2 linked regions of the Xenopus tropicalis genome follow. The main gene of each other region encodes a partner of the protein of the gene in region 2 in a complex. Links are inferred from orthologs where the notes say so. Each region holds a gene or a part of one and is shown on either strand. Other genes may lie near its edges. The genes, in order: ap1s3 and aagab.

The links.
Region 1: the proteins of aagab (region 2) and ap1s3 are in contact, whole or in part, in a crystal structure (PDB 9DDT), measured with the Homo sapiens proteins. The link is inferred for Xenopus tropicalis from reciprocal best matches to the Homo sapiens genes AAGAB and AP1S3. Residues at the interface, in NP_078942.3 of Homo sapiens: Asn51, Lys52, Tyr53, Tyr54, Glu108, Val109, Met110, Ile111, Gln128, Ile132, Gly135, Phe136, Glu137, Asp151, Phe153, Pro154, Glu155, Arg161, Gln164, Ala165, Asn167, Ala168, Asn169, Val170, Met176; in NP_001034658.1 of Homo sapiens: Arg10, Gln11, Lys13, Arg15, Gln37, Leu40, Ser41, Arg61, Tyr62, Ala63, Ser64, His85, Val88, Asp92, Phe95, Val98, Glu100, Leu101, Asp102, Ile104, Phe105, Asn106.

Annotation. Positions count from the first base shown.
Region 1 is NC_030681.2:125,309,685-125,314,106, forward strand, and holds the start of ap1s3 (AP-1 complex subunit sigma-3), read right to left. Parts: upstream 2,938-4,422; 5' UTR 2,876-2,937; coding exon 2,873-2,875; intron 1-2,872. UniProt on the Homo sapiens protein: Subunit of clathrin-associated adaptor protein complex 1 that plays a role in protein sorting in the late-Golgi/trans-Golgi network (TGN) and/or endosomes.
Region 2 is NC_030679.2:117,439,836-117,444,432, forward strand, and holds the start of aagab (alpha- and gamma-adaptin-binding protein p34), read right to left. Parts: upstream 2,850-4,597; 5' UTR 2,807-2,849; coding exon 2,737-2,806; intron 1-2,736. Other genes in the region: iqch (IQ domain-containing protein H), read left to right, coding at 3,020-3,070. UniProt on the Homo sapiens protein: May be involved in endocytic recycling of growth factor receptors such as EGFR.

The sequences.
Region 1 (4,422 bases), on a different chromosome or scaffold from region 2:
TAGCCAAAAAATACAGACCCCTTACTTACATAAACTCTGTAAAGGCAGGGAAAGAGTAAATAAAAGGAACAAGGAGATAGTGTAGAAGGAAAAATTGGAAGCAGAATAATAATTGGCATGTGAGTGGTGCTCAAGGAAGAGAGAGGATACATAAAAGGGTGACTATAAACATGAACAAAAGATGGAATGAATGTAAAAAGAGAAGAGAATGTTATATGGGTGGAGACAAGGGAGGAAATGAGACAAGTACAAGGGGAAAAAGGTAAGTTGTACATAAAAGTGTAACTGTCAACCTGCTATATTTCCAGAAGTATTTAAACCCAATCTAAGGGTATAGTATGCTGAGGTTTGGGGCAAATTCTTACTTGATTCCCTGGATACCCCTGGAAATACAGCAGAGTGTCTGTTACACCAATATCCTATGTATCCATATGATAACCCTGTCATGAGTCAAGGGCCTAGCTTAGGGTGAGATACGGGGGGGGGGGGGGGATTGCTTACTGTTATATATCTGTAACCTTATGCAGGGGTTCTGGGATGGTGTACAACAGGTTAGCTCATAAAACTGGTGTGGGCTTTTTTTGTTCAAATACAACTGATGGCACAACACTTGGGGGAGGGGGCTGACACATAAATTGCAGAAATTGTTTCTTAAGGCCCTGCCAGTATTCCACAGAGACCAATCAGCAATAAGCTGCAATTGGATTTGTGCAGTTAAAACAAACAAAATAAAAATTGCTCTGTTGCACGTATGTTAATGAATTAGCCCCCAAAGATACCAAAATCATCCCAGTGTTCCAACTCAGCTAGCTATAAACAGCACATGGATGAAAAGGAGTGAATACTCTTAATACATATTTGTATATGCTAAAAGTACTCATTTCACTCAAGGCAAACGGATACTTCGGAAATTCTGTGGAACTGGTCTCCATTGCAAAACTGAGGATGAATATATATGTTTTGTACATATAATTCTTTAATAATGTATGCTGACAGTACAGCCAGGTGACTACTGTTAAGAAGATTTTCCTTCCAAAACAGTTGTCTTCTTTAGAACCATGTAATAGGCAAGCATTTTCCATCCATTTTCAAGCAATGCAAAAATGTAGAATCTGCACTGCTGCAAAAATGTAACTTCCTTGACAGTGATGCAGATTTTATATCATTGTCAGGGAAAGGGTTATTGCAAGAAAATATACCATGTGTGGGATTTATGGAAGATATCTCATTTAACTGTAACTGATGTATATAACCAAGCAAAATTTTAATAACACTTATGCCACTAAAGGCTTCTGTTTTGTATTAGTCTCTAGGTGAGGTTACATGTGTTCCTGTCAGGGTAACCAATAATGGTACCCTAATTCATTTAAAAAATAATCTGTAGCAAAATTTCATTTTCTGAAAACGTTACCGTGACCTATGTGTGAACGCCACAGCAGGGAAGCACAGATAAAACCGCTCGTCAGTAAAAGCCTTTTTTAGTGACTTTTTATTATATTTCTATTCAGGCCCATATCCCAGTCTGTCAAACCACTGCCTAGTTTGCCAGGTTAAATTGGACCCTAACAACCAGATACCGGCTGAAATTCCAAACTGGAGAGCTGCTGAACAAAAAGCTAAATTCAGGGTCGGACTGGGCCGCCGGGACACCAGGAAAACACCCGGTGGGCCCCAGTGGCCCAGAGCGACTCTTGCCGACGGTTTTCCTCCCGACACGTTAAACTTAAGTGTGCTCAGTGAAGGACGTCGGGCGGGGGGTTAGGGAGGCTCAGCGAGGGCCCCTAGGGAGTGCAGGGGACAATGTCGACGGGGGCACCCCCCAGTCTGAGCCTGGCTAAATTCAAAGACTGCAAATAATTAAAAAGGAAGACCAATTACAATTGTCTCAGAACAGCACTCTCTACATCATACTCAACATCATAACTTAAAGGTGAACAACCCCTTAAAAGGAGAAGGAAAGGTACAATCACTGGGGGGGGGGGGGTGCCACAATGTTAGGCACCACACAGTGTGTAATTGCTGGGTGGTGCTCCTGCTAGGAGAAAAGCGCACCATCCCAGGTTAGTTGCGAGAGCGATACTCTTCCCTCACACCGCTTGTGCACACGCAGTAGAGTGAAAAGCCAAACCTTAACAAAAAAGTCAGCTTTGTCACAGCCTCGGGATTCTGAAGCTAGATGTATGTATGTATGTATGATGAGAGAAGGAAGAGGAACGCTCGTTTGCACTGCAGTTTACCCTAACAGGAGCACCAACCTGATAACAAGCTGACAATGCAGTTTTTCAGGTACGTTTGGTTCAGTTTGTAGTTTCTTTATCAGCTGGAAGAAATGCACTTCCCTAGCCTTTTGGAGTCCAAAGAAAGAGCTGTTTATAAATAAAGTTGCATTTCAATCTGCTTGAATTGACCTCAAAGTATTTTCCATCTAGCAGGGAGTGCTCTCCCCACATACCCCCTAAATCATTCACCAATAACACTGCCCATCAATCTGAGGTACAAAGATAGCCAGGTACAATAAACCACTAGCTTTCCTATACAGGAATGGCACTAATTAACATCCCCATTTAACCCTTTAGATTGCTGTTGATGGGAGTTATAGTTTAGTATAATCTGCCAATCCCTGTATGTTTAAAGGGCAAGGCTTGCTTGGGCAAGTTACCTCATTACCTGACTAATACTACTAAGGAAAGAGCACTCTGCCCTTGGCTCCCGGTTTATTGATCAGATTAGCAAGCGACAGGTGCAGGAGTCACATGATTCTCACCCATACAGAGCCAAACCAATGTCCCCCCCAAACACATAAACGCTAGGAACTATTCCCCGGTTCTACTGCGTTCCCTCTAGCCCCACTCCCCTCTCGCTCCCCCCTTACCATTTCTGTTCCGGCGGAAAGGGAAGCGACAGGTGACACTGGCACAGGTGAGGCTGGAGCGGCCACTCCACCGCAACTGCCCCGCCCACCCACGTACCTGCTGTAAAGACGAGGCCCCACCCACTAGGTATTTCCACAAGCGTACCTGGGCATGGGAAGCCCCACCCCAATACAACTGCGAGCCAATTACTTGCAAAAATAGTGACGCACCGCCCACCAAGGTACACCCCGTGCAACCAAATATGACAGTGATGGGGGAGAGATACCTCGCCATTGCCAACCTGAGTGTTGTGCGTCGACTCTGCTGCCCCCAAGCTGTGTGCACTGGTACTACAGATACAACGTGTGCAGGGGAAGTATAGTGCTAGCCGGTACTGTGGGGAGAATGGCTTTGTGCTCTGGGATTATTCGAGCCTCAGGGGCAATACAAGCTTCAGCATAGGGCTTGTGGCGAATATGCTCTCTGCTTATTGTTTTATTTCTGGCACAAAATAGGAAATAATCAGACGCTGAAACTAAAATCACGTTCTATTTATTGTATTTATGTACACAATCAAAACAAATCAGCAGTCCCCTGAGCATTAGAAATGTGTATGAATTAAAGGGCACCTATTGGTGGACAATTACTCTCCCACAGGAGAACTGGTGGGGGAACAAATTTCTACTGCTAGGTGCTGTTTAAGAAGAGTGCTGGTGTTTACCTTATAATCCCATAGCAAAATATATAGGTGAGTGTCTGGCCCTGTTTAGTTTCTTCTGGGACAGATCTGGACCACCACCATTAAGGTCTACAAGGGATATTAAAAAAGAAGAGTAAAGCCATCTTAACATACCTTAATATTTGAAAGGCTGTAACTAATCAAAAAGGAGGCCTACCTGCTGTGTATGCTCATCCAGTTCATGGCACGTAAAGAGTATCATTTATTCATAAATAATCTATAACTGATATATACAGTGTGGTCTGGCAAAATGTATCTGAATGTCAGTGGGTAAATGCTTTTAAGGCTAATGTCCCATGGAGCGAGTAATTGCCCCTGATAGATCTCTGCTACTGTGGGCTTCTTACAGCTACAAAATAGTAGTCGCCCGCAATAGCAGAAATCAGAGATCAGTTGCAGGTGACTAACTCGCTCTGTGGAATATTAGCCTAAAGGGGACCTTCTACTTTTGCAGCTCTAGGTTGAATCAAAACAAACAAGCCACTGAAACTTCAAATCTCACAATTCCAGCTAGGCAGACACACCTGATAAGCAAGGCCAGTCAAACGAAAGGGAACCTTCTGCTTTATTTCTTAGCCCCCCACCCCACACAGAGCACTCCCGCAACCACACTGCTGCCTTTGTATACAATTCAAGGGCTTTCCGCTTCTAGCTCTTAAAAAACAGACTTATGCAGCTTAGTCATCATGTTTGGCCATATAAAGGCTAGTATCTGTCTCAGGTACATGGGGTGCTGAATGTATACACAGATTGTTGGATGGTTTACTTTTCTATTTCTTGTTGCGATCTGTCTGGACAGCAAATTGCCTCTCTCAACATCTCTTTGGGATG
Region 2 (4,597 bases):
GCCGATCGGCTGCTGGGAAGGGGGTGATATTACACCAACAGCGCAGCTCACATAGCACCCTGGGAAATTAATAATATGGCTAGCCCCATGTGAAATTTCAAAATTAAAAATAATGCAAGATTCTGCTGGAGAAGCTCTATTAACTGATGTGGTTTGTTTTTTTTTAAAAAAAAAAAACAACATGTTTTCCCATGACAGTATTCCTTTAAAAACTAGCTCAGCCTGCCTCCCCTATGTACAGTGATCTTGGTTGTAATGACTTCAGAACCAGCTGAGGGAGGAGCCAGCTGAAGTTTCATTCATTACTCTGTGTATGCACAGAAATCTGAGCATTTCTACAAATGTGACCTACAAAATCTATGGTTTACATCAGCAAAGATTCATATGTTTAATGCCCTTGCCCAATGAGCAAATCTGCCCACTTATGTCCAGTTGCACTCTTAAAGGAGAAGGAAAGTCATTTTGGCATTTTACTGCCAATAGATTTGCCACATAAGTGCCACCAAGAACACTATATTTATTCTGCAGAAAGCATTGCCATACCTGAGTAAGGAGCCCTAGAAACTCTCTCCATTTGCTTAAGATAGCAGCTGCCATTTTAAATAGCTTCCTGTTTGCACTCTAGCAGTCTTTGCAGTCTAGCTCAGATCACACATTCCTAAGGGAGGGATTTCTTAGCATTCTTGTGGGAGGGGGCGCAGAAGAGGGGAGAGAGGAGAGAACTGCGCAGACTCTGGCCCAGGGAATTAAGGATTTTTCTGAGAGAGGAAGTCAGACACCCTAAGAACATGTTTACAAAAAAGGAGACATGGAACAATGTGTTTCTTTTGACAGAGAACTCAGTGCAGCATTTCTGTGAGTGCTTATGGCTGTATTTACAGAGACATTTCTGATAAAGCTTACTTCATTTTTACCTTTCCCTCTCCTTTAATGGCTATTGAACAGAATCAATCATAAAAATGGAACTTGGTGTGAATTTTTTTCCACTGCAACAGACAGCTCCATACATAGAACACAGCATACCTGTATCCGTCCAGAACATGTTGGTGCATATTTTTCCTGATACATTCAGGTCCTATGAGCCTATGCTTAAGTGCCCCCTAAGGCACAGTGGGTGTCGTTTATCAACACTGGGCAAATTTGCCCATGGACAGTAACCCATGCCAAGAAATCAAATTGTTGCATGGTTACTGCCCACAGGCAAATTTGCCCAGCTTTTATAAATGACCCCCAGTGTGTATTCACAGTATTATGGTTACCGCCACTTTAAAGGGAAACTAAAAACTGCTGCACTGGACTTTAAGTACAAATTCTAAAATAATGCAACATATTATTAAGATTAAATGATGCTGGGAACTGTAGTCCAACAACATCAGGGTTGTATTCTAAAGCTTTAAAGGCTTTGAAAGCCTGGGAAGGTAGGTGTACACTATGCCGACTGAATGTCAGCTTTTCAGGCACTCTCCCATGAGCAGCGTCATTTCCTGCAAGTAATGATCAGTTCTATGGCATCACTATTTCTAAAGTATGTAGAAACTTGATTAAGTACTCTCTGTTTTGGTTTTCTCTATATCCCCCTTTTTATTATTATATGTGTCCTTCACTCTAAGGCTAATGTCTTTCTAACTCATCTCTAGGTACCATCCAACCCGCTTGTTACGCTCCTACATACCTGCTCCTCAACTCCTCTCTCATTCCCTCCTCACACGCTCGCATTCAAGACTTTGCAAGAGCTGCCCCCCTTCTCTGGAATTCGCTCCCACAAACTGTCAGACTTTCTCCCAATCTCTCTGCCTTCAAGAGATCTCTAAAAACACATTTAATCAGAGAAGCTTACCCTAATCTAGTTTAGCAATACCCTGTGCCCCACCTCTCACAACTCTGTCATGCCCATTCCCACACCTTGTGTCTCAACCTTTTCTCCTTGTAGATTGTAAGCTCTTTTGGGCAGGGCTCTCTTCACCTCTTGTATTGGTTATTGATTGCTTTATATGTTACTCTGTATGTCCAATGTATGAAACCCACTTATTGTACAGCGCTGCGGAATATGTTGGCGCTTTATAAATAAATGTTAATAATAATAATATTTAATTTGACTTAGTTACCATAACCAGCATGATCTAGTGTATTCCCTGCAAACCTTGAGACCTAATAATGTAACATATAAGAACAATGATCTGACTGACAGATTAGTAAAAGCTCCTCTTCCATAATACTGGGAACATGGGCAAGGGCCAGTGCAATGGGGCTTGTTACATGCACTAGAGTTGTGCAGAGACCTCACACATCTCCCTCTGTAACAAAGGAACAGTTTATTTCTGGGCCTCTGTAATACTAATATAAGCTAAAAGATGGCCCCGGCCCTTTACATGGCAGAAAGATGGGCAAGCAATGTCCCTTACGTTGCTGTGGGTTGCTGGATGCTGGGAGTTCGCACCTGGGCAGCCTGATGGCGATTCCTGCTTATAGCAAGGCACCAGTGCACCTGTTTGCAATAGCTAAGGCCACACACTCATGCAGTGTATGTGGGCATATTATTAGCTGTATGTTTATCTGCTAGTAGTCCCACATAAAGCCAGGGATAGGGACTGGTACTAGGGTAGTGCTCCCACAAACAAATATCATATGATACTGATGCCCGTTCCTACCCAGTGCCCTAGCCCTATGGTGCCTTCTTCCCCGCTAAACCCCTTCCATTCATTCCATGCACACAGTTCCCTTTATCCCAGCGCTTACGTGCCACCAGCTCTTCCTCGCTGAATCCAGGAGCGCAGCTCGTCAGCAGCACACAGGGAAGGGAAGCCATCTCTGCTCCCCCACAGCTTCCGCCCTTCACTTTGCCCCACTTCCCAGCGGCTGCCTTCCGACTTCCACCACACAACTGTTTTACTTCCGCCAGTCATCTCAGAACGAGGAGGAGCCTAGTTCCTTCCTGCCTTCTTTTTTCATTGGTATAGAGCGGAGCGCGTCTCGTTGTCATGGTAACCCAAGTTGGCTCTGACTTCTTGGGAAAGAAAGCATGGCTGGAACATCCCGGGGTCCTGACCCTGTGGGCCGCCTCCTGGTGCAGGTAAGGGACCGTAGGCTTATTCCCCCGGAATCTTTATTTAAGACAAGGACGTAGATAAATGTGTGCTATTGACGTTTGGCATTGCTGTGGGATACTTTCATTAATGATAAGATCACTCTGCGCATGCTCTGTAAATAGCCTCATAGTATAATACAGTGTTGGGCAATGTTTCCTGCTGCACCTTAAGCACATTAGTAGTGTTACTACAGCAGCTTACTGCCTCACCCACAGTGTTACCCCAATGCTATTCCTTCTAACTCTTGCACCTAAGGATGTATGTATGTATGTATGTATGTATGTATGTATGAATAACTGTATTTATAAAGCACTACAAGGATACGCAGCACTGTACAATCTTACAATATACACACAGGGAGGACAAGTGTTATAATAAATACAATAAATATATATACATTTACAGAGATGGTATGAGACAGAATAGGAAGGAGGTCATATATGAGGATATACAATCACTCATGGGTTCCCTCATCTCCCCATTTAGCATTATCTCATATAGTTATAGTCCCTCACAGGCAGTAAAAATGTTGCTCTAATATGTTGTGGTGGGAAAAAATGGCACCAGAAAATTGTGCATACGATACACCTATGATAATATGCACCCGGCAGGCATTTGTGTGCCCCATTTGTGAGTAATTTCCCAAGTGCAAAAAAAAAAATTTGCAGGAGCAATTTGCTAACTGTAATCTGGTCACTGGCACCATGGGCACCTTGCAAAAATTAGGAACAAAAACTTTGTATACAGCATTTTTGTGCCAAGTATTATGAATGTTTTTACTAAATAAGCCCTGTAATTTTCATTTTCTTTTCTTTTCCCTTTGTGGTTTACATTTTAGGCTCCTCTGGGGCCCGTGAGCAAAGTCAACACCTCCCTGCTGTGTGGGGCAGATATTTAGCTGCTTAAAGTACACTTACTTTGCTCTGAGCCCTACAGGGCTATGGATTCCCAGCATTTAATGTATGTTTAGTACTTATTGGTCCAAATTGGTGTCACAACATGTGTTTATAAATTGATAACAGCCAGATAGTATTTTTAGTGACTGAATGAAAAGAGACAGCATGGGAAGGCCAATAATTTTCTAACCCTTAAAAAATAAAAATGAAGAGCATTTTTTGCTTACATTAGGCCCATCTATTCTATATTTAAAAATTTAAAAGATTTTTTTTTTTTTTTTTTTAGAATTCTTTATTTTTGCATTTTCAAGTATGGGGAAGGGATACAGAAGGTAAAAGGGGGGAGGGTAGGGAGGGGAACATTGCACATGTTGATTTTACATTTCTTTACATATACAGTATCAGGCAAGCTGTCGTCAAGTTATTTCTATATTTTCCAGGTAAATATTCCTTAACTAAACCATATATACAGTGGTTGTAAAATGCTACTTCTATATGGCTGATTTGTGGTAATTTTTTCATAATGATCTTAAATAGTCTATCCAGGGAGTCCATATTTTCCTGTAGTATGTGCTTTTATTGTGAATCATGAAGGTTATTTCCTCCATCTGTCTA